Linked DNA regions of Elephas maximus indicus. The protein of the gene in region 1 binds, or shares a complex with, the protein of each later gene. Links are inferred from orthologs where the notes say so. Each region holds a gene or a part of one and is shown in the gene's direction. Other genes may lie near its edges.

Region 1 (9,513 bases):
TGCCTGATCTGGGTCCTGGAGCATGGGCAGACATCCGCAAGGGGACTGACGGATGACCTCCACCTGATGCAAGTACCCACAACAGGAACTGAGCCGGCACCACAGGAGGGACTGCACAGGCATGACACCCCATAATACGTCCGGTTACCCAGTCCCAGGAGCCTTTGCTACGGGTTGCATCTTGAATTCCAGATGCGCTCACAACCTAATTTCAGTATGCACCACCATTCTGAGAAGTATCCGCCCCTTGAAAGAAACCTACTAAATATTCATTACTGTATTATCCTCGCCAAACCCATATAAGCCCCAGAAAAACCTTTGTTCAGGGGAACAGAGGTTAGCGTTGCCTGTTCCCTCTCTCTCTGCTCGTGAGCCTTCACTTTCTTTCTGTCACTAATAAACCTTTGTTCATGTGGAACCTCTGAGCCTCTTCTGGTCGTTCTTGGTCAGTAGAAGGCAAGAACCTAGGCAGGCAACTCTTCAGACATGGATTGGACTGGACAGTGGGTTGAAGACGAATGCTGGTGAGAAGTGAGCTTCTTGAATCAGGTGGACACTTGAGACTATGCTGGCATCTCCTGCCTGGAGGAGAGATGAGACGGTAGAGGGGGTAAGAAGCTGGCGAAATGGACACGAAAAGAGAGAGTGGAGGGAGAGATAGGGCTATCTCATTAGGGGGAGAGTAATTGGGAGTATGTAGCAAGGTGTATATAAGTTTTTGTGTGAGAGACTGACTTGACTTGTAAACTTTCACTTAAAGCACAATAAAAATTATTTTAAAAAAAAAGAACCTAGGCAGGACTTAGTCCTGACCCGGGAAGCCTTGCCCTGCAACAATATGAGTGAGCCCAGGCAAGAGCAGCAGAAACCCATCCAGTTAACCCACAGAATTCTGAGAACTAATAAATCATTGTTTTAAAACCATTATTTTTTGGTGGTAGCTTGTTACCCAGCAAGAGATAACTGAAACAATCCAAAGATAGAATCCTGAGGAGTTCTAGTTTAGCCAGCCTCCAACATGACCCCTAATGATCCCTTCCTCCTGGTATTCATGCCTGTGTGTAGTCTTTTCCCACACTGTATTAGGGCTGGTCTGTGTGACCAAGATAATACAACAGAAGTGATGGCAGGCTATTTTATAAAAACACTGTGGCTTCTGCCTTGTTCACTCCTGGATCATTCACTCAAGGGAAGCCAGCTGCCATGACCTAAGAAGAGGAACTGAGACTTAGTGACATCAGCCAAGGAGTGAGCTTGGAAGCAGATCTTCTAGCCCCAGTCAAGCCTTTGGATTACCGCAGCCCCTACTGACATCTTGACTGCAATTTCATGAGAGATCCCGAGCCAGAAAAATCCAGCTAAGCCACTCCCAAATACCTGACCCACAGAAACTGTGAGATAATGAATGTTTGTTGTTTTCAGCAGCATAACTGGGGGTAAATTGTGATGCAGCAATGGATAACTAATAGAATGTAACATTTTTCATCCGTTATGTATATAAGCAGTCTCTTGTGGGAGCCTGAGTTAACAGGAATTCAGTTTGACTTACTGATGTTTTAACGTCCCTCATAGATTGATACCCTGGTGTCACGGGGCTAGGCTGCGTGTTATTCCTGCCTGGTCTCCAAAACATCTTTCACAGGATGGCCAGAATGGGCTGATCATGCCACTCCCCTGATCAAAACCCTTCCATGGTTTCCCATTGCCCAGCTTCTACCCATGTTACCAAGTAGTTTCAACAGAAGAACCAGATGGTGATATCCCTGGTCTAGTGGCCAAACAGCAGATTAGTCCAGTGGTACAGAGAAAAAGGCCCAAAGAGTGACCAAGACTGATGGCCAGGTCTCCGATGGCATCTCCTTTGGCTCCAAGGCCTTTGTCTCATTTCCCCTCTCCCCTAATCTCAGGACTACACCCAACAACACTCTCTCCCAGCACTCTAGAGAACACTGCCAAACAACTCACACTAAAAGCCATTTTTAAGAGAGTTGGAATGTCTTTAAGACTATTAAGGAGAATATTTAACATTTGAGTCTGAGACGTTAGCATTTGGATCATTCCATCTATGCTCAGCTACCCTAAGGATAGGGCTTGACTTACAACTGCAAGACTGTAAGGGTTCTGTAAAGCAATTCCTCCCAGAATAACCATCTGCTCCTTATTTTGTCTTGACCCCACAGGAAACACAGAGCACACTCAAGATAGGATAATTCAAGGAGGGTGTATTTACAAAGGACTATTTAAAAAATACTGGGTATTTTCGGGTTTAAAAATATGTGGGTATAAGAGAATCACAAGACAGTGCAGTAACCCAGGACTAGTAGCAGCCAAACTAATACTGCCCCTAGGCCCAAAAGGATGAGGGGAGGGGTCAGTTATCAGGACCTGAAAGGAAGAAGAGAGTGGTTCTGACTGAGGTAGAGCAGTGACATTTGGTTGAGGGACATAGCCAGCCTGAGGGAGTCTCTGTATCTCTTTCTTTTCCTGCTGGGGCTCCCTATTGGCCAACCAAAAGCCAAAGGGCAAGGGGGCCCAGCTGATGTGGGGATGGAAAAGGGTGAAGAGTGGATCTGGAGGACGAAACAGAGAATAGCCAGACAGCCCTCCAAGATGAGCTCCAGCCTCTATCTTTAAGACTGAAAGCATCAGATTTCTGGCTATCCTTGAAGAATCGCTTTCCCTATTTAAGCCATCAGGGTTCGGAAGGGTGACAGTCCAGTCAAGAAGTTGTCATTATTTTGTAAACGGATATTGACAGATCCAGTTTCTCACACCTTGATTTTATCAAACTCCAAACTCAAATACAGAACTATCCAGTTCATTTCTGTATACTAGTATTGCATAGTGGTCAAGAGCATGACCTACAGAGTCTAAATATCAGCTGAGCAACCAGCCAAACCAACCCAGACCACGATGAAGGAATATCCCAGAATGGCGGCTGTGCAGCAAGTCTACAGAGCAATTAATCTAGATTGAAATAAGAGGAAGGAATGTTCTGGGACAAAGACTTCAGAGAAAAATGAAATTTATATTTTTGAATATACAGAAAATATTATTGGTAGGTTTTTTTTTTTTTTTTTTTACGCAGAATCTTAGAGCACTTGGGAGGAAACAGCCAACTATAAATATATAGAAAATCAGACAAGTAAGGGTAAAAAGGCAATAATTAACCTAGGAAAAACTGAAAGGCTGTGTAAGCTAGAAGGCATGCATACAGTGCATTTCTTGGCTCCTCAATGATCAATATTTGCATACATAACAAACATTGATTATTGACTTAACCAAAAATTGTTTCTTCAGTATGTGTGGATGTGGGGGTAGGGAGGAGGAGAAGTGATGGAGACAAATTCTCACCTACCTTGGCAGGAAATCAGATAATGCTCAGAATTAACAAATCAAGAAATAGTGGTATAAGCATTTATTTAGAAATGTGGTGATAAATAGCAGGATGAATAAGAGGATATTGCCTCTGAAGAGCGGGCCAGGGAACTGCTTTTCTCACTGCAAGTCTTTTAATATTAAACCCAGTGCCGTCGAGTCGATTCCAAAGGCTTTTAATATCAGAAACCAAAAAAAAAAAAAAAAAAAGTTGTCGTGGAGTCAATTCTGACGCAAGGGGCGCACTGGTTAAGAGTTGGGCTGCTAGACAAAAGGTCGGCAGTTCCAATCCACCAGCCGTTCCCTGGAAACTCTATGGGGCAGTTAGTTCTACTCCGTCCTGTAGGGTTGCTATGAGTCAGAATATACCAGACAACAACGCGTTAGTTATTTTTAAAGTGTGTATGCGTTGGAAACCCTGGTGCCATAGTGGTTAAGTGCTACGGCTGCTTTTAGGTTCTAAAAGGTCAGCAGTTTGAATTCGCCAGGAGCTCCTTGGAAACTCTATGGGGCAGTTCTACTCTGCCCTACAGGGTCGCTATGAGTCGGACTCGATAGCAGTGGGTTTTTTTTTTTTTGGTATATGCGTTACTTTAATACAATAAATATTTTTAACACGTTAGCATATAATTTGGTAGGATCTGCAATTTCCTGAAGCTTATCCATGGCCCATAAGAAATCTTTTCTAAAGGGCTGTCTAGGCCTTGTTGATAGGGGTTAGTTTTGTGTTCCTTTTCTTGGATCCCTCCTCCCCTCAGAACACTTAACAGAAAATTAAGTATTGCATGTAGAAGGGACTCATCTAAGTCTCTTAGTCTCCCTGGGGTGGGGAGGGGGAGGGGCGGCAGATACAAAACAAGACACACAGGCGGAAGGTGCAGATGTACCACAAAGGTGAGTTCAGATTCTGCCTGAAGATGAGGTGGACGGTATGTCTCTTGCAGAGGTACTGGAACGTGAAGGTTTCCAAGGCAGAAGAGATTACGTTCAGAGCCGCGCCCGGAAGCTGCTCCCCCAGGCACAAAAATGGAGGCGTGACAGGAACCCAGGGAGGTCCATCTAAGTTGCATATTCACCTCAGTGACTTCCCATTTCTTTCTTTTATTGTCCTTTTAACAGTTTGAAGTTATATACTTCAGCGTTTACTTGTTTGTTGTCTGTTTCCTTTACCAGACCATAGGCTTCATGAGAGCAGGGCCGCGTCTATTTTTTTCACCGCTGTATCCTCTGCACAGAGAGGAAGCCCACTAAATATTTGTTGAGAAACGAAAAGGTAATGGTGCAGCTAGGCAGCCATTAGCGCGGATGAGGAAGGGATACCGAGAACGAACAGGCACCAAGAGCAAAGGGGAGATGAACTGGGAGATGACAATGGGAAGCTTCATGCGGGGATCTCTAAAATGACTAGACCGGAAAGGTAGAGCTGGACCTCTGGGACAAGCGGGAGGGAGGCGACGGACAGTGAAGAAGGCCTCAGAGAATGACAGCTGGGTAAACCACATATTTGAAGGGGCTGGATGTAAGGGGGTCTGTGGGAAAGTGGAGGCGGGACGACGGCATCACGAGTGCGCAAGCGCGGCCTCGGTCCGCAGGCGTGCCTGCGTGCGCGTGCACGAGGGGTCGGAGCGGAATTGGCGCCGCGGGGCCGCGCGTAGGGCGGCGAGCGGAAGTGGGTGTGAGAGCGGAAGTGACCGGCTAGAGCCGGGGGCTGGGCGGGGACCGGGCTTGTTGGTGAGGCGGCGGCGGCGGCTCGGCAGGCGGGTTGAGGCTTCCGGGGCCAGGTCGGTCGGGTGGGTGGGTGGGTGTCTCCACAGTGTGTGCGTGCGCGGGCTAGCGCGCGTGTCCTTCCCTTCCCCCCCATCCCGGCCCCTCTCCCCTTTTCCCTTCACTTACTACTCCACCCAGGCCCCCTTGTCAGGGGCAGCAGGGCCGCTCCCTCTGTCCTTCCCTCCTTTACCCATCCTCACCCGCCTCGTTTCTCCTTCCCCTGCCCGGGGCAGCCGCCGCCATGATCCTGCTGGAGGTGAACAACCGCATCATCGAGGAGACGCTCGCGCTGAAGTTCGAGAACGCGGCCGCCGGGTGAGCGCGCGCCCGGGGCCAGGGGTGGCAGCGGAGGCAGAGCTCACCCCCGCCAATCCCCAGTATCATCCAGGGTCCCCACACCTGGAGGAGGGAGATGGGGGGCCTGGCAGGGTGTGGGGGCCGCCCTGGCGGTGGAGACGTGGGCGCGGCGGGGTGAGGGGCAGAGAGAGATGCGTGGGGCGAGGCTCAGAGGAGGGATGCGGAAGCAGTGAGTGGACAGTAGTGCGCGTGCCAAAGGGAGACCTGTAGGGCATGAGGGCAGCTTGGGCCTGAACTCACTGGAGGATGCCTTTGCCCTCTGGAGCGAGGAGGGGACCCCTTCCCTCTGTTGTTCCCGTCATTGTTCTGAACCCGAAGAGAGCCCATTTGGGATTGGGTTGGAAGTTTTCAGGGATTCCCAGGAATGGAGGAGGGAAGAAGATACAGGCCTAGATTAGCACCTGCATTCTTGCTCTCCACCCCACCTCCTCCCTAAAGGAGCTAGAGGGAAGACTGGAAGCACTGGCTTCCTTCCCATCGATTCCATCTCCCCAATCAGACCCAGCCGTACAACCGGAAAAACGCGATTTCTATAATTTCCCTTTCCCCGGACCCTACTGTAAGAAGAAACTGGCCATTTTGTTACATATTTCTCAGAGTTGACAGTCCCTCCATCCACATCCATCCATTCCTTATCTGTCTTCTGAGGTTCTAATGCTACTTTCCCCACCCATTAGCCATTATTTGGTTATCTTGAAATTCTTGGTGCAGGACCCCTGGCCCGTGATTTCTTCTGTGATAGTCTTGGCCCAGTGACACACTTCTGAGCCGCCTAGGTCTGTAAAGTTCTTAGATAACCTTCATTGTTGGCCTTTTTAAAGATGGGCTTAGAACATTTTTCTAAGGCAGTCTTCTCAGTTGAACACAAGCATCAGTAGAAGACAAACAGCCCCCTCCCCCAGAGCTGCTTTGGGTTTCTAATATAGTATTTAAAATATGAGGCCAAGGAATTGGCTTTATCTTCTAATTTTTAGTGGCCTGTGGCCAGTCCTTTTGCTTCATTTCCCCATCTGTGAGGATGGGGCTTCACATCTTAGTTTCAGTTGAGGAACTGGATGCAAAGTGTCTATGATGAACTGGGAAGTAATAATAGGAAAGTAAATGCTTAGAGATCCACAGATGGGAGAGGCTTGCTGGAGGGGACATTCTGAGTAATCGTAATGGACTTGTGGCTTGGAGGCAATTAAAAAAAAAAAAAAGCTCTTCTAACTCACTGCTTAAATTGAATGTATTGTGAGTCTTATGAGTCTTATCTATTTTTTAAGCCCACAGATTTTATCTGTAAAACAAAGCACGGACTATTCCTTGAAGTAATGACATGCAGTGAGCAGTACTGTTTCTTGCCAGGGATGATAGTCGCTTATATTTTAGGCTAACTTGCTTCTTCTTTTCAGTCTATCATGCCATTTCCTTTGCACTTTAAATAATTCAAGTGAATCAGCCTAGGGTCTTTTTTGGGTGATTGCTGTGTACTTTTTTTGAGCAGTGTAGCACATAGGAGGAAGTTGAGCTAACTTCTGCATTTTCACAACTGATCTTAATGCATTCTCAAGTCCAGACTAGCAAAGAATGAGACCTGAGTGGCTGTAAGCAGATCCGCCTGTGGATTTTCAAGTAGAGGCCTGCCTTGTATGCAGGAGTACCTTCACATCTATTTGTGTATTAATAACTTGTGATTCCCAAATGTGGCCCATTGTTCAGAACTTCCAGCTGGTTTTCTTTTAGAAAATTACTCTTAGAAAGAGCAGCTAACCATTTCAGAGGGGTTAAAGCAGGCCCTCAAGTCAGGAAGGGGTAAGTTAGAACTTCCAAGACATTCGTTAAAAGATTTGTGTTGTATTGATGTTGGATATGAGGGAGGGTGTTGAGCTTTCGCTTTTATTGTATGCCCACTTATTTAAAGTAGTTTAAATAAGTGGGCTTAAAACATATTCTGCTGAAAAGCTCTTGGGAAATCTTTGAAAAGAGACCGTAATATTCAGACCTACTAGGTAGGGCTTTTCTGGGATTGCAGATGTACTCTAAGCAGAAGCCTAATTTCAAGCCAAGTGTGCTTTTCCAGGCATACCAGTAAGGTAAGGCACCGATGAAGCAGTTAAATATTTATCACAGTGCATGTCTACACCAGAACTTCCACAAAGGATGACTGCTATGAGAATCATAAACATATATGGGATTCTGCCGGTACTCAAAGGAGCCTTGGTGGCACAGTGAGTGGTTAAGCACTTGGCTGCTGACCGAAAGATTGGAGGTTTGAACACACCAGTCGTTCTGCGGGAGAAAGATGTGGTAGCCTGCTTCCGTAAAGATCACAGCCTTAGAAACCCTGTGGGGCAGTTCTGCTCGGTACTATAGGGTCGCTATGATTCAGAAATGACTCAAGGGCAGTGGGTTTGGCTTTGGTTTTTACCAGCACTCAACACCAGGCAGGAGCAAAAAAGAAAAAAAGAAGCCGGCCTTTCTGAGAGAGCATGTTGGCAAAGTTACAGAGAAGCTAAGGGGTGAGATGTGCTGGGGTGGAAGATAGAGAAAGACCTTAAAGAAAAATGCTGAGAGTTTGAAAGGTGGTGCCAAGTGTGGGAGCCTCCTGGAAGAGGGCAGTTCCACCCTGCTTTACACATCTTCCAAACCTGTTGCCTTTGAGTCAATTCCAACTCATAGTGACCCTATAGGACAGATTAGAACTGCCATTTAGGATTTCCAAGGAGCAGGTGGTGGATTCGAACTGCCAACCTTTTGGTTAGCAGCTGAGTTCTTAACCACTGTGCTGCCAGAGCTCCTTAAAGTTCTTAGAGCAGACCAGCTGGGAAAGTTATGGTTCAAAGCAACCTTTTCCAGAGTGGGTCTTCCAGCTCTGCACTGTCTAATACGGTAGCCACTAACTACATATGGCTGTTTAAATAAAAAGTAATTAAAAGGTAATAAATTAAAAATCAAGTCCCTCGGTCACACCAGCCATATATCTAGTGCTCAGTGACCACGTGTAGTTACTGTATTGGACGGTGCAGATGCAGAACGTTTCCATTGTTGCTTGAAGTTCTTTTTGTTGGGCAGCATTGTTCCAGCTCCTGAAAACGTAGCATTGAGATACTGTGAAGATAGTCCTGTGGTATATATACTTCAGAATGCAGTTGGCGTTAGTTTTCCTTTTGGGGTTTATTTGTGTGTGTGTGTGTGTTTTTGGTCAAAGTTTATGCAAGAAATTAGGCTCTCATTTAATTAACAATTTCTGTACATATTGTTCAGTGATACTGGTTACATTCTTCGCAATATATTAGCATTCTCATTATTTCCATTTTGGTTGTTCTGTTTCCATTAGTCTAGCTTCCCTGATCCCCTTTACCTTCTCATCTTTGGTGTAGGGTAAATGCTTATCATTTGAATTCATCTAGGTGATTATTTTGAGGAGCACAGTACTCACGAGGGATATTATTTATTTTATGGGCCAGTCTGTCATTTGGCTGAACGGTGACCTCTGGGAGTGGTTTGAGTTCCAAGTTTAAAGTGTATGTCAAGGCGATAGACTGGGGATTCATCTAGTCTCTACTGGTCCAGTAAGTCTGGCCTTTTTTGGGGGAATTTGAGTTTTATTCTACATTTTTCTCCCATACTATCCAAGACTATTGAGCCCCTGGTCAGAACAGTCAGTAGTGGTAGCTGGGCACCATCTAGTTCTTCTGGTCTCAAGGTAGGTGATTTTGTTGTTTGTATAGACTGTTGGTTCTGTAGACTAGTTTCTTCTTTTTAATAATGCTGCTCAAATCTTCTTGCCTCTGACATCTTACTAAAACTCTACATTTCCTTCTGGTAAAGCAGTTCTGTAATCTAACCTTTTAAGTGAATACATTTAGTCATGATAACCTTTTAATTTGGAGGCACTTCAGGCAGAGAGCGTAAGATTCATTCCAAACAAATTGCTTTTTATTTTTTCCTACCACACAACTGGGGAAAATGGTTTACTGGAGTGATCCATATAGCCTCACAAAATGATAATTAATGGTAAATTGTTTT
Region 2 (10,265 bases), on another chromosome or scaffold:
TGACTTCAAATATGAACCTGGATATCAACGGTATATAACAAAGAGAGAAATGTTGCCAGAACTTTATGAAACAAAGTACCTTTTGCAGTTAAATTTTTGTACTGGTTAGAGGAGACTCAGGCTAGGAAGAGAGGAAAGTTACTGAAAGATCACTTGAGACCAGGTCAATATACTGAAGCCTTAGAGACTATTAAGAGAGCATAAAGAAAATATGGCTGTAGTCAAGTAACCTCTGTTTTTCTATCTGTAAAATGGGAAAAAGTGAGCTAGCTCATCTTTAAGGTTCCTTTCAGCTCTGTTTGCTATAAATTGGCATATAGCTGAGTAACAGGTCCACAGAGTGAGATCTTACAGGGCAGTAACTAGGTCTTTCTTCCCATATTGCTCAGTCTCCTGCTTGCTACCCAACGGATTCCTGGTCATGTTAAGCTGGCCCAGAGATTCAGGGAGGGGAGAAGTTGGAATGTTCCACCCCACTTCAGCAAACTGGCAATGGTGACATTAAAGAGTATCACCACCAACACACATGTGGAAACTCCAAATAAGGAAAATATAAATCACTTTCAGCCAATGAACAAATCAATAACCATAGAAAATAAAGATGACCAAAGACCTACCTCTAAAAAGATCAGCAAGCTCAGATAGTTTTGCAGGTACATTCTGTAACGTTCAACGAACAAGTAGCATGGGAACTTTCTATTACTTGAAACTATTCCAGACCATAAGAAAAACATGTAAATCTTCCCAATTCATTTGACAAAGCTAGACTAACCCCAATATCAAAACCAGATAAAAAAATGAAACTATGAACCAATCTTACTTAAAAACATAGATTCCGAACCATATAAATGAAATATAAGCTAATCAAATCCAGGAAGGAATTAAAAGAATAACATTCAAAAACCAAATAGAGTGTATGCTAGGAATGTGGGAATGTTTCAATGTAGAAAACTATATAATTCATTACATTAATAAATTTAAAGTTTAAAATGATATGACTTTTACCATTAGATACTCACAAAGGCATTTGATAAATTAAGCAGTCATTCCTAAAGATCACAAAGCAATAATAAATATAATATCAACTAGTGAAATACCAAAGATATTTCCATTGAAACAGGAACAAAGCATGGAAGCCTACTTTCACCCAATTTCTCAATACCGTTTTCAAGATTCTACTTAATGTAATAAGAAAAATAAATGAATATAAATATTAGAAAGGAAAATGTAAATTATCATTATTTCAAATAGTTTGATATAACCTTAAAGCAACTATTATTAATAAGCGATCCCAGTAATGGGAAAGAATAAAGGATAAATAAATATTTTTTAAATCAATAGGTTCCCTTTAAATCATCATAAACTAAACCAAAACCCATTGCCGTCAAGTCAATTTCAACTCATAGTGACCCTATAAAAAGACCCTATAGGAGAGAGTAAAACCGCCCTGTGGAGTTTCCAAAGGCTGCTAGTGGATTCAAACTGCCAACCTTTTGCTTAGCAGCTGAGCTTTTAACCATTACGCCACCAGGGCTCCTTATATCCTCATAAACAAAACCAAAAAACCCACTGCCATCAAGTCGATTCCAACTCATAGCAAACCTATAGAACAGAGTAGAACTGCCCGATAGAGTTTCCAAGGAGTGCCTGGCAGATTCAAATTGCTGACCTTTTGGTTAGCAGCCTTAGCTCTTAACCACTATGCCACCAGAGTTTCCTATATCCTCAGGGAATATAAAATTAAATGGAAAAAAAGGCTCATTTACAACAATGTTTCAAAAACAATGTTCACTCTTTCATTCAGCACTATTTATCCTGAGACAAGAGTACGATTTATAGTTTTTTAAATCTTTGCGAAGTATTATTATCTAATTAAAGGCCCTACTGAAAAATATTTCACCCTATCTATTTCAGTGAGTAATCATAAACTTATGTAACGCTAAAAATAATAAGAAAAAACTTGAAATTTTGAAGGTTGGTTGTTTCAGCACAGAAACAGTTGATTTGAGCATGAAGTAGGAGTAAATTAAACCATTATACAGTTTATGGGTAATACGATAAGGATCTTTATATTACAGAAATGTCAATAGGGAATAATGATATTAAATCATCATTACCAGAGCTGAGTTTTACCTTTATTTTATATGTATAATATACATTTGACATATTTGATTAAAATGGAGTATATTTTCATTTCCAATAATAAAATAATAGTGCCATGCTTGCAGGGTTCAATGTCTTGGTTTGTTTTTTTAAGTACTTAGTGGCAATTCTGGGGGAAAACGCACATAGTAGGAGAGTACTTGGTTTTTAAAATGTGAAAAGAAAGACCTATTATAATTTTATCAAAATCCCTTTTAATTAAAAGGATCCTTGTTCTTTGCATCATCACACAAAAAGGAGCTACATGCCAGCATGTAGCATAAACCTTGAGAAAACTCAGATTCAATCTTGCTTTCCTATTGGGCCAACCAGGTTATTTTGCACAATAAAATGTCTTCAGTACACAATGCTGGGGGAAGCCAGCACAACTTGTATGAGGCAAGATCATGTAAGCTCCACAGACACATCAAAACTCCCTGAGGGACCGAATTACTAGGTCGAGGGCTGTTCGGACCACAGTCTTGGGGAACATCTAGCTCAACTGGCATAACATAGTTTATAAAGAAAATGTTCTACATTCTACTTTAGTGAGTGGCGTCTGAGGTCTTAAAAGCTTGTCAGCGACCATCTAAGATACACCACTAGTCTCACTCCATTGGGAGCAAGGGAGAATGAAGAAAACTAAAGACACAGGGAAAGATTAGTCCAAAGGACTAATGGACCACAACTACCACAGCCTCTACCAGGCTGAGCCCAGTATAACTAGATGGTGCCCGGCTACCACCGCTGACTGCTCTGACAGAGATCACAATAGGGGATCCTGGATAGAGCTGTACAAAAATGTAGAACAAAATTCTAACTCACAAAAAAAAGATCAGACTTACTGGCCTGACAAAGACTGGAGAAACCCTGAGAGCAGGGCTCCCGGACACCCTTTTAACTCAGTACTGAAGTCACTTCTGAGGTTCACCCTTCAGCCAAAGATTAGACAGGCCCATAAAACAAACAAGACCAAAGCGGCACACCAGCCCAGGGGCAAGGACTGGAAGGCAAGAGGGGACAGGAGAGCTGGGAATAGGGAGTCCAAAGTCTAGAAGGGAGAGTGTTGACACGTCATGGGGTTGGTAAGTAATGTCACAAAACAATATGTGTACTAACGGTTTAAAGAGAAACTAGTTTGTTCTGTAAACCTTCATCTAAAGCACAAAAAAGAAAAAGTCTTAAAACCTTATGAATAGTTTATGTCAGGGTAAGTACTCATTTAAAATACTAAAATAGGCAGAATCCTAGTACCTAAAATGAATTAACTATTATGGTTAACATTAAGTAACTGAGATAATAATTTTTTAATTAAAAGATAATTAAGAATGAGTTTCTTCCCCCAAAACAGTTTCCCTAAAGCTGTATAACTATTTAACTATTAGCTAGCGGAGCATAGGGAGCAATATTAACGTATCCATTCAAAAATACTCAGTCTCTAAATGCGATCCCTAAAGTTACTTGTCAGATCATAAATTTACTTGATAGAAATTTATTGAGTGCCTGATACACTAGGCACTTAGATCATTGTGAGACAATAAAAAATACTGCATTGGAAAAAGACCTTTTGACATCTGAAATGTAATACACATTTTGGGGCTGAGAATTAATTACATTTAAGACATTCAACACATTCTGAGCAATCAAAACAATTACACCCATGAGCATCCCCAATTTTTTAAAGTCTTCTCACTATTCTCTTAAATTGATTTCTATCAAGGGAGTCTTTCCCAGTTCTAAAATAAGACAAAAAGAAATTTCCTAGATAAGAATACAAAAGAATAGAAACGTAAGAAAAGGAATGAGTTAGGTCTTGAATCTTTGTTCCCATTTGTTCAACAGTGCTTTTAATGCGCAATTTTCTCTTTAAGAAAAATCTTGATTTAAAAGAACAAAAAGTACAGTCTTTAGCATCTCAAGAAGAATATTGTTTAGCTCATACTAAAGTTAGCAAAAGACTGAAACTGAGAAAAAATATTTAAATACATCTACATTCTAAGTTATATAATGCCATTCAACATAGTAATAACCTGATACTTTGAAATATGACATTTTAAAATAAATATTACCAACAGCTAGAAAATTTTCCTTTGCTGTTTTAAGAGAATTCTAGGGGAGTTTGTAATTTGAATGTCAATTTAAGGAAATGTCGCTTTTATCATCTAAATTCTGTCTTCTAGAATGGGCATTTTATTGGGAAAAGAAAAAAGCCACATTGCTTTTTCCTCCCAAGGAAAAAGGATGCATTCCATTCTTGAGGAGTGTCTGTCTGTCTCTCCCTCTTTCTCTCTCTCCTGTCCTCCCTTGTCCTTTCTCTCTCTGTATATATATATGACATAAGGTTTAATTTGACATCTTTCTCTTCTTACTTATTCATTATTCTCAGTGTGATCCTCAACCTGTACTGCCTTTCACACTTCATCCATTCATCAAACATTTATTCAGTACCTTCTGCAGGTAAAGGAAGATGCAAAATAAATATAAGACAGGTCTCTGTCATCCAGAATCTTGCAATCTCTCCGAAGAGCAAGATAAAACATGATATATCATTAAGTAAGCTAGAAGGCTAATGCCAAAGCCAATGGTACAGGTAATAAGCATTTTACATATATGTACAATTTTAGAGCTTCAAAACACTTTTGTGTATTTAAACCTCAGAACAATCTAGTGAAGTAATCATTACTATCCCCATTTTTGCGATAAAGAACCTGAGATTCAGAATTTTAAGTGGCATGCCTCAACCAAACAGATGATGAGTGAAAGAACCAAGACTCAAGCCAGGGTCTTCTGATTCTAAGCCCAGGACTCTTTTCAATACACCACAGGAAAACAAGGATTGGAGTACTCAACAGGGGCAACAGCCAGCCTTCTCCCAGAGGTGGAACTAAACTGGACTCATAGGATGGCAGGAAAATATGAAACCACCTGGGCAATGTCCAACGAAATGTCCAAATTAATTGTATTCTGCAAATATTTGGGCTTATCATTAATTTGTACTTCAGTGTAATACACAGCACAACTACCATGTCCTTAGTGGCTTTACCTCTTATGCTCTCAGATACTAGGATGTCAAATATAATTAAGAAGCTGGTCTAGTGGAGTCATGTAATTCATAAATACAAATCTTAAAGACTGGTTTCTACTAATCCATAAACATTTGGTTTTCCTTCAGCACCAGAGCCTACCTCGCCCCACCTTTCTCTAGCATTCTTGCTCCAACCACTTATTTTAAGATATCAATGATGAATGATCCTACCCCAAATTCTACACGTTCACCCCAGTTTTGCCACCTGACTCCAGCCCTGCCCAGACATCTTCCCCTCCCTCCCGATAGATATGATACCGAGTTTAGGTTCTGCAGGTCCCGTCACGATGCTGTCACCAGCACTGAGAGATAAGATATGACCTTTTGACTCCGTCCTTGGAAGCCTCTGACTGGCCCTGCAGCGTAGTTCTACCCTCGGGGAAAGGGCTCCCAGCTGGGGAATGCACCCCGGGTGGAGCGCGTTCCGAAGCGATGTCTTCGACAACTAGCACGATGCTGGGCACACGGGAGTGCACCACTCCGCCCCATACTCCTGCCAGCTGCAGGGGGCTGGGTCCGGCAACCAGTCCATCCCACCGCACTGGCAAGTCGGGGCCAGCCGGACCTTACGCAGGACTCCAATGACTGCTCAGCGGCGGCGGTAGCGGCAGCAAAAGCCAAAGCCACCCGCCCCCGGTGCCCATAGCCGCCAACCTAGGACCCCCCCGCCACCAGGCTGGACCGCAGAGAAGCGTTTCTATGGGAACCCCCTGGGCACCACGTGATGCACTCGGGCGACCAATCGCCGCTCCCCTCTGTCCGCGGTACGGCTTTCCGCCTTCCCTCTTATCCCGCCCCCGCCCCTTCTCCTGGCCCCACCCCTTTCCTGCAGAGAGTCCGCGTCTGCGCGTGGGGTCCTGCGCGCTCCCTCCCTGGCGCGCCCCTTCCCTGGCGCTTGCTCCCTCCGGCGCGCCCGCTCCCTCCCTGGCGCCCGCTCCCTCCCTGGCGCGCGCTCCCTCCCTGGCGCCCGCGCACCCGCTCCCTCCCTGGCGCGCGCTCCCTCCCGCGCGCCTGCTCCCTCCCGCGCGCCTGCTCCCTCCTTCGCCCGCTCCCTCCCGCGCGCGCTCCCTCCCTGGCGCCCGCTCCCTCCCTGGCGCGCGCTCCCTCCCGCGCGCCCGCTCCCTCCTTCGCCCGCTCCCTCCCCGGCGCCCGCTCCTTCTCCGGCGCGCGCTCCCCGGGAGCGCGGGGGCGGCGTGGGAGGCTAGAGTAGGGCCTGAGGCCGAGGAGGCAGGAGCGGGGCCGGCGCGCAGGCTCAGAACCGGCTGAGCCGCTTCTGCCGGCGACGCCCCTGAGCGGAAGAGGGAAGTGGAGGCGCCAGCCTGCGGGTTCCTGCTGGACTGGGGTTGCTGTAGTAAAGGTAGCACCGAGGGGAGGCCTTTGCCACCGGTGGGGTTTGGGGATGTCGAAGAACACGGTGTCGTCGGCCCGGTTCCGGAAGGTGGACGTGGATGAGTACGACGAGAACAAGTTCGTGGACGAGGAGGACGGGGGCGACGGCCAAGCCGGGCCCGACGAGGGCGAGGTGGACTCCTGCCTGCGACAATATCCTTGCGCTGGCTCCTCCGCCCCCGGCCCCTCTCCCCGGACCCCGCCGCCCTGCAGAGTCCGAGGACCACGGTCTCCTCGCGGGGACGGGCGCGGAGCTGCCGCCTGCGGCCCGCGGTGAGCCTGTCCCATTGGGGTCCCCCACTCTGAGACTCAGAGAGAGGCTCTCCCGGTTCTAACCGAGCCGCCTCGGGACTGCAGGCTCCCGCCCTCGGCGACCTGCCCTTGGCGCGGCGCCTCCCACGCCCCGGTTCCTCAGGTGGCGCGCAGAGTGCCTGCCCCCGGGAGCCCGCTCTGCTGGCCGCGCCCTCGAGGCGCTGGGGCGGCATCTGGCGCTGGGTAGTGCCGCGGCAGGTCAGCTGTTCCTCCCCAGAATGGCGCTTCTGGGTCACGTTAGCCAGAAAGTGCTGATGGCCGGTGTCTGTAGGGGTTTGGGTGGGGAGAAAGGGTGGTAGTGGTTTGTTGGTTTGTTGATTTGTTTCGGGTAACGTTAGCCTAGTTTATTATTTCCGGGAGGATTGGGGTGGTTGGCAGAATTGAAGCCCTGTGTCTTTTCAGCCTGTGAACTTTTTTCTTTTCTTCCGTTTTTTTAAAACGAGAAAAAAACTGGCAAAATACAGGTTGCACAGAATTTGTTAATCGGAGGAGGGAAGTGAGTACAAAAACCTCAAAACTCCCAGAAAGGAAGCTTGAAGCCCTTTACTTGCTAAAAGGACAATACAAAGAAAACGGGGAATGCATGTGCAGAATCCCAAGAAGTACTTCAAATAAACCCCAATAAATAGAAGATAAGTCGTTTGTGTAAAGCAGAATCGCTTTTGTAATCCTGAAATTGTTTCCATTTTAAAGCGTAGCTGTCAGTTCCTGGTTTTGATTTTTGCATGTTTGAATATTCATAACTTGTAATTAACACTTGCATCAGATCTTTTTAGAAAAATGTAGATGTTGCAGTAACAGAAGGTGTAGTTTTAGAGGTTCTCAATGACTGAACTTAATGCTTTTCGAATTTTTCTTGAGCGTATGGGTAAGATAAAGAAAGCTTTTTATACCCTTTCCTCACGATGTCCCATTAAACTTTAAAGGAGAAAATGTATGAATGAAAGTATTTGGTAACAACTGTATCCAGTCTTGGAAACCCTGGTGGCGTAGTGGTCACAGAGTTCTAGTGGTCACAGAGTTCGGCTGCTAACCAAAAGGTCCGCAGTTCGAATTCACCGGGCGCTCCTTGGAAACTGGGGGGCAGCCTACTCTGTCCTATAGAGTCACTATGAATCAGAATCGACTCCAGGGCAACGGGGTTGGTTGTTACTTTTTTTAGTTTTGGTGTATAAAGGCACCTAAAATGCCGCACTTAACATTCAGGAACATATGGATGTTCCATTGGTTTCTGCCCCCTTCACAATCAGCGGTTACTATTTTGCATTATTTAAATTTTGTAAAGGTTTTTGCACCTTAATGAGCCTACAAAAGGCATGCTTCTCTAGAAGTTCATGCAGCCTTGAAAATAAGTTTATACCACCAACTGTATTTGTCAGACCTTTCCCTGCAGAAGATAAGTGGTGACTATTATTCTTTTTTTAAATCATTCTTTGTGATGAATAGATATTTTGTGAGATTAACGTATTTTAGGTGATTTGTAATGACTCTTAAACGGTACCGCTGTATCAATATCAGCGGGGCCTGCTTTTGAATTAGTTCATCTTAAAACATAAAGATATTGTTTCTCCTACCCTTGTGACAACCAAGGGAGACAGCCCTGCCTGCACAGAGGGAGTCAAGCACCAGAGATGGAGGAACAAGTGAACTCTGTGTGGTTTTCCTTATAGGGGAATGACTGTACATTCTAACAGTATGATTGGCCTAGCGTTTCTCGTGTTGGCTTACTCACTGGTGCTTTCATAGAGGGACTGAGTTTAATAAATATAGTCTAAGGCGGTTTGAATAACCTTTATGAAATATGAAAGAAAATACCCAAAACAGAGAATTTAAGCTGCCACCTAAGGGTCATATGAATTATTACACTGTCTGTAATGCCTCTTCTTATCAATACTAAGAGATTATTGGTGTGGGTTTTTATCATTCAGATTACCAGGGTACCCTACCAGCATTTTCGACCAGCATTTTAATTAATACAGAATATAGTTCTAGTAAAAGTTCAGTCTTTTTTTCCCCCCTCAGTTAAAATCGTAAAAAGATGTATTTTGATTGATGACAGGCTGTTTCACTTTGGAATTTAATAATTCTAATATACCTTTTTTAATATACCTTTTAGATTTTCTTTAGTACCACTCTGGATAATGTGCATATGTGTCTCATGGGAGAGTGAAAGGCATTCATTTGACAGTTGAGAACCGAAAAAAAAAAAAACTAAACCCATTGCCATTGAGTAAATTTCAACTCGTAGTGACCCTATAGGGCGGAGTAGAACTGCCCCGTAGGGTTTCCAAGGCTGTATGAGTCTGAATCAACTCAGTGGCAATGGCTTAATCTTTACGGAAGCAGACTGCTGCGTCTTTCTCCTTGGAGCCTTAGAGCTTTCGAACCAGTGACCTTTCAGTTAGCAGCCAAGTGCTTAACCACTGTGCCACCAGGGCTCCTTGATAGTTAAGAACCAAAGGTGAAATAGTCTTAAGGCTAATGTTCTCTTTTGTTTTCAGTATTTTACCTTTGATTGACATCCTTGAAATCAATGGATTGAATTTCCAATATTGAAGAACATCGTGACTGTAGCAATTTTTTCTCTTTGTACATAAACTCAGGTCCTAAAAACCAATGGTTCTTGAAAGTTATAAAGCTTACCTGAGGGCTGCTCTTTGCTGTTATCCCCTTAACTTCCCTCACAGGAAACATGACAGCCGCCCTACAAGCAGCTTTGAAAAACCCCCCTATCAACACCAAGAGTCAGGCGGTGAAGGTGAGTCACAGACAGCAAGATGGTCCTTGCTGACATCTTTATTCATACCAAAAGCATTTGAAGTTTCACAGAATCAACAGATATTTTAATTATTCCCTCTCTTTGACATGAAAGAGCTTATAGTTTAGTTTGCTAAGTTAAAATTTATAAAAAATAACATTTGCGTTGAGTTATGACAGTGCTACATGGTATACACAGTAAGTTCAAAAAGTTCAAATGACAGAGAGGCCACTCCTGTGGGCATTTTTAGAGGAGGCCCCGCAGGTTGAATTTAAACAAAGAATAAGTAAAACATTTACAAAAATAAACACACTGTTTGCATGCTTTTAGAAGATTTATTAAAAATCAAACTAGTACTAAATATTTATTATAGAAAACAGATATGGGGGGATTAAAAAGGTACTGACCCATAATCCCACCACCCAGAGATAGCAGTTGTTACCTTTTGGTGTGGCTGTATGCTTGTAGATTTCTTTCTGGTTTTGTTTTTTTTTTTTTTTTAATGGAGTTTTACAACCTTTTTCAACTGTAGAGCGATATACATGAAGTTCTTTCCTTAGTAATAAGGAAATAATCTTT

What was found. The genes of interacting proteins can lie anywhere in the genome.
Region 2: ARPC2 (region 1) and ARPC5 share a complex: the UniProt entries of both Homo sapiens proteins name them as parts of the arp2/3 complex. The link is inferred for Elephas maximus indicus from reciprocal best matches to the Homo sapiens genes ARPC2 and ARPC5.

What each region holds. Positions count from the first base shown.
Region 1 is NC_064824.1:116,783,146-116,792,658, forward strand, and holds the start of ARPC2 (actin-related protein 2/3 complex subunit 2), read left to right. Parts: upstream 1-5,057; 5' UTR 5,058-5,159; intron 5,160-5,378; 5' UTR 5,379-5,386; coding exon 5,387-5,460; intron 5,461-9,513. UniProt on the Homo sapiens protein: Actin-binding component of the Arp2/3 complex, a multiprotein complex that mediates actin polymerization upon stimulation by nucleation-promoting factor (NPF).
Region 2 is NC_064842.1:47,116,593-47,126,857, reverse strand, and holds the start of ARPC5 (actin-related protein 2/3 complex subunit 5), read left to right. Parts: upstream 1-6,382; 5' UTR 6,383-6,626; coding exon 6,627-6,770; intron 6,771-9,614; coding exon 9,615-9,686; intron 9,687-10,265. UniProt on the Homo sapiens protein: Component of the Arp2/3 complex, a multiprotein complex that mediates actin polymerization upon stimulation by nucleation-promoting factor (NPF).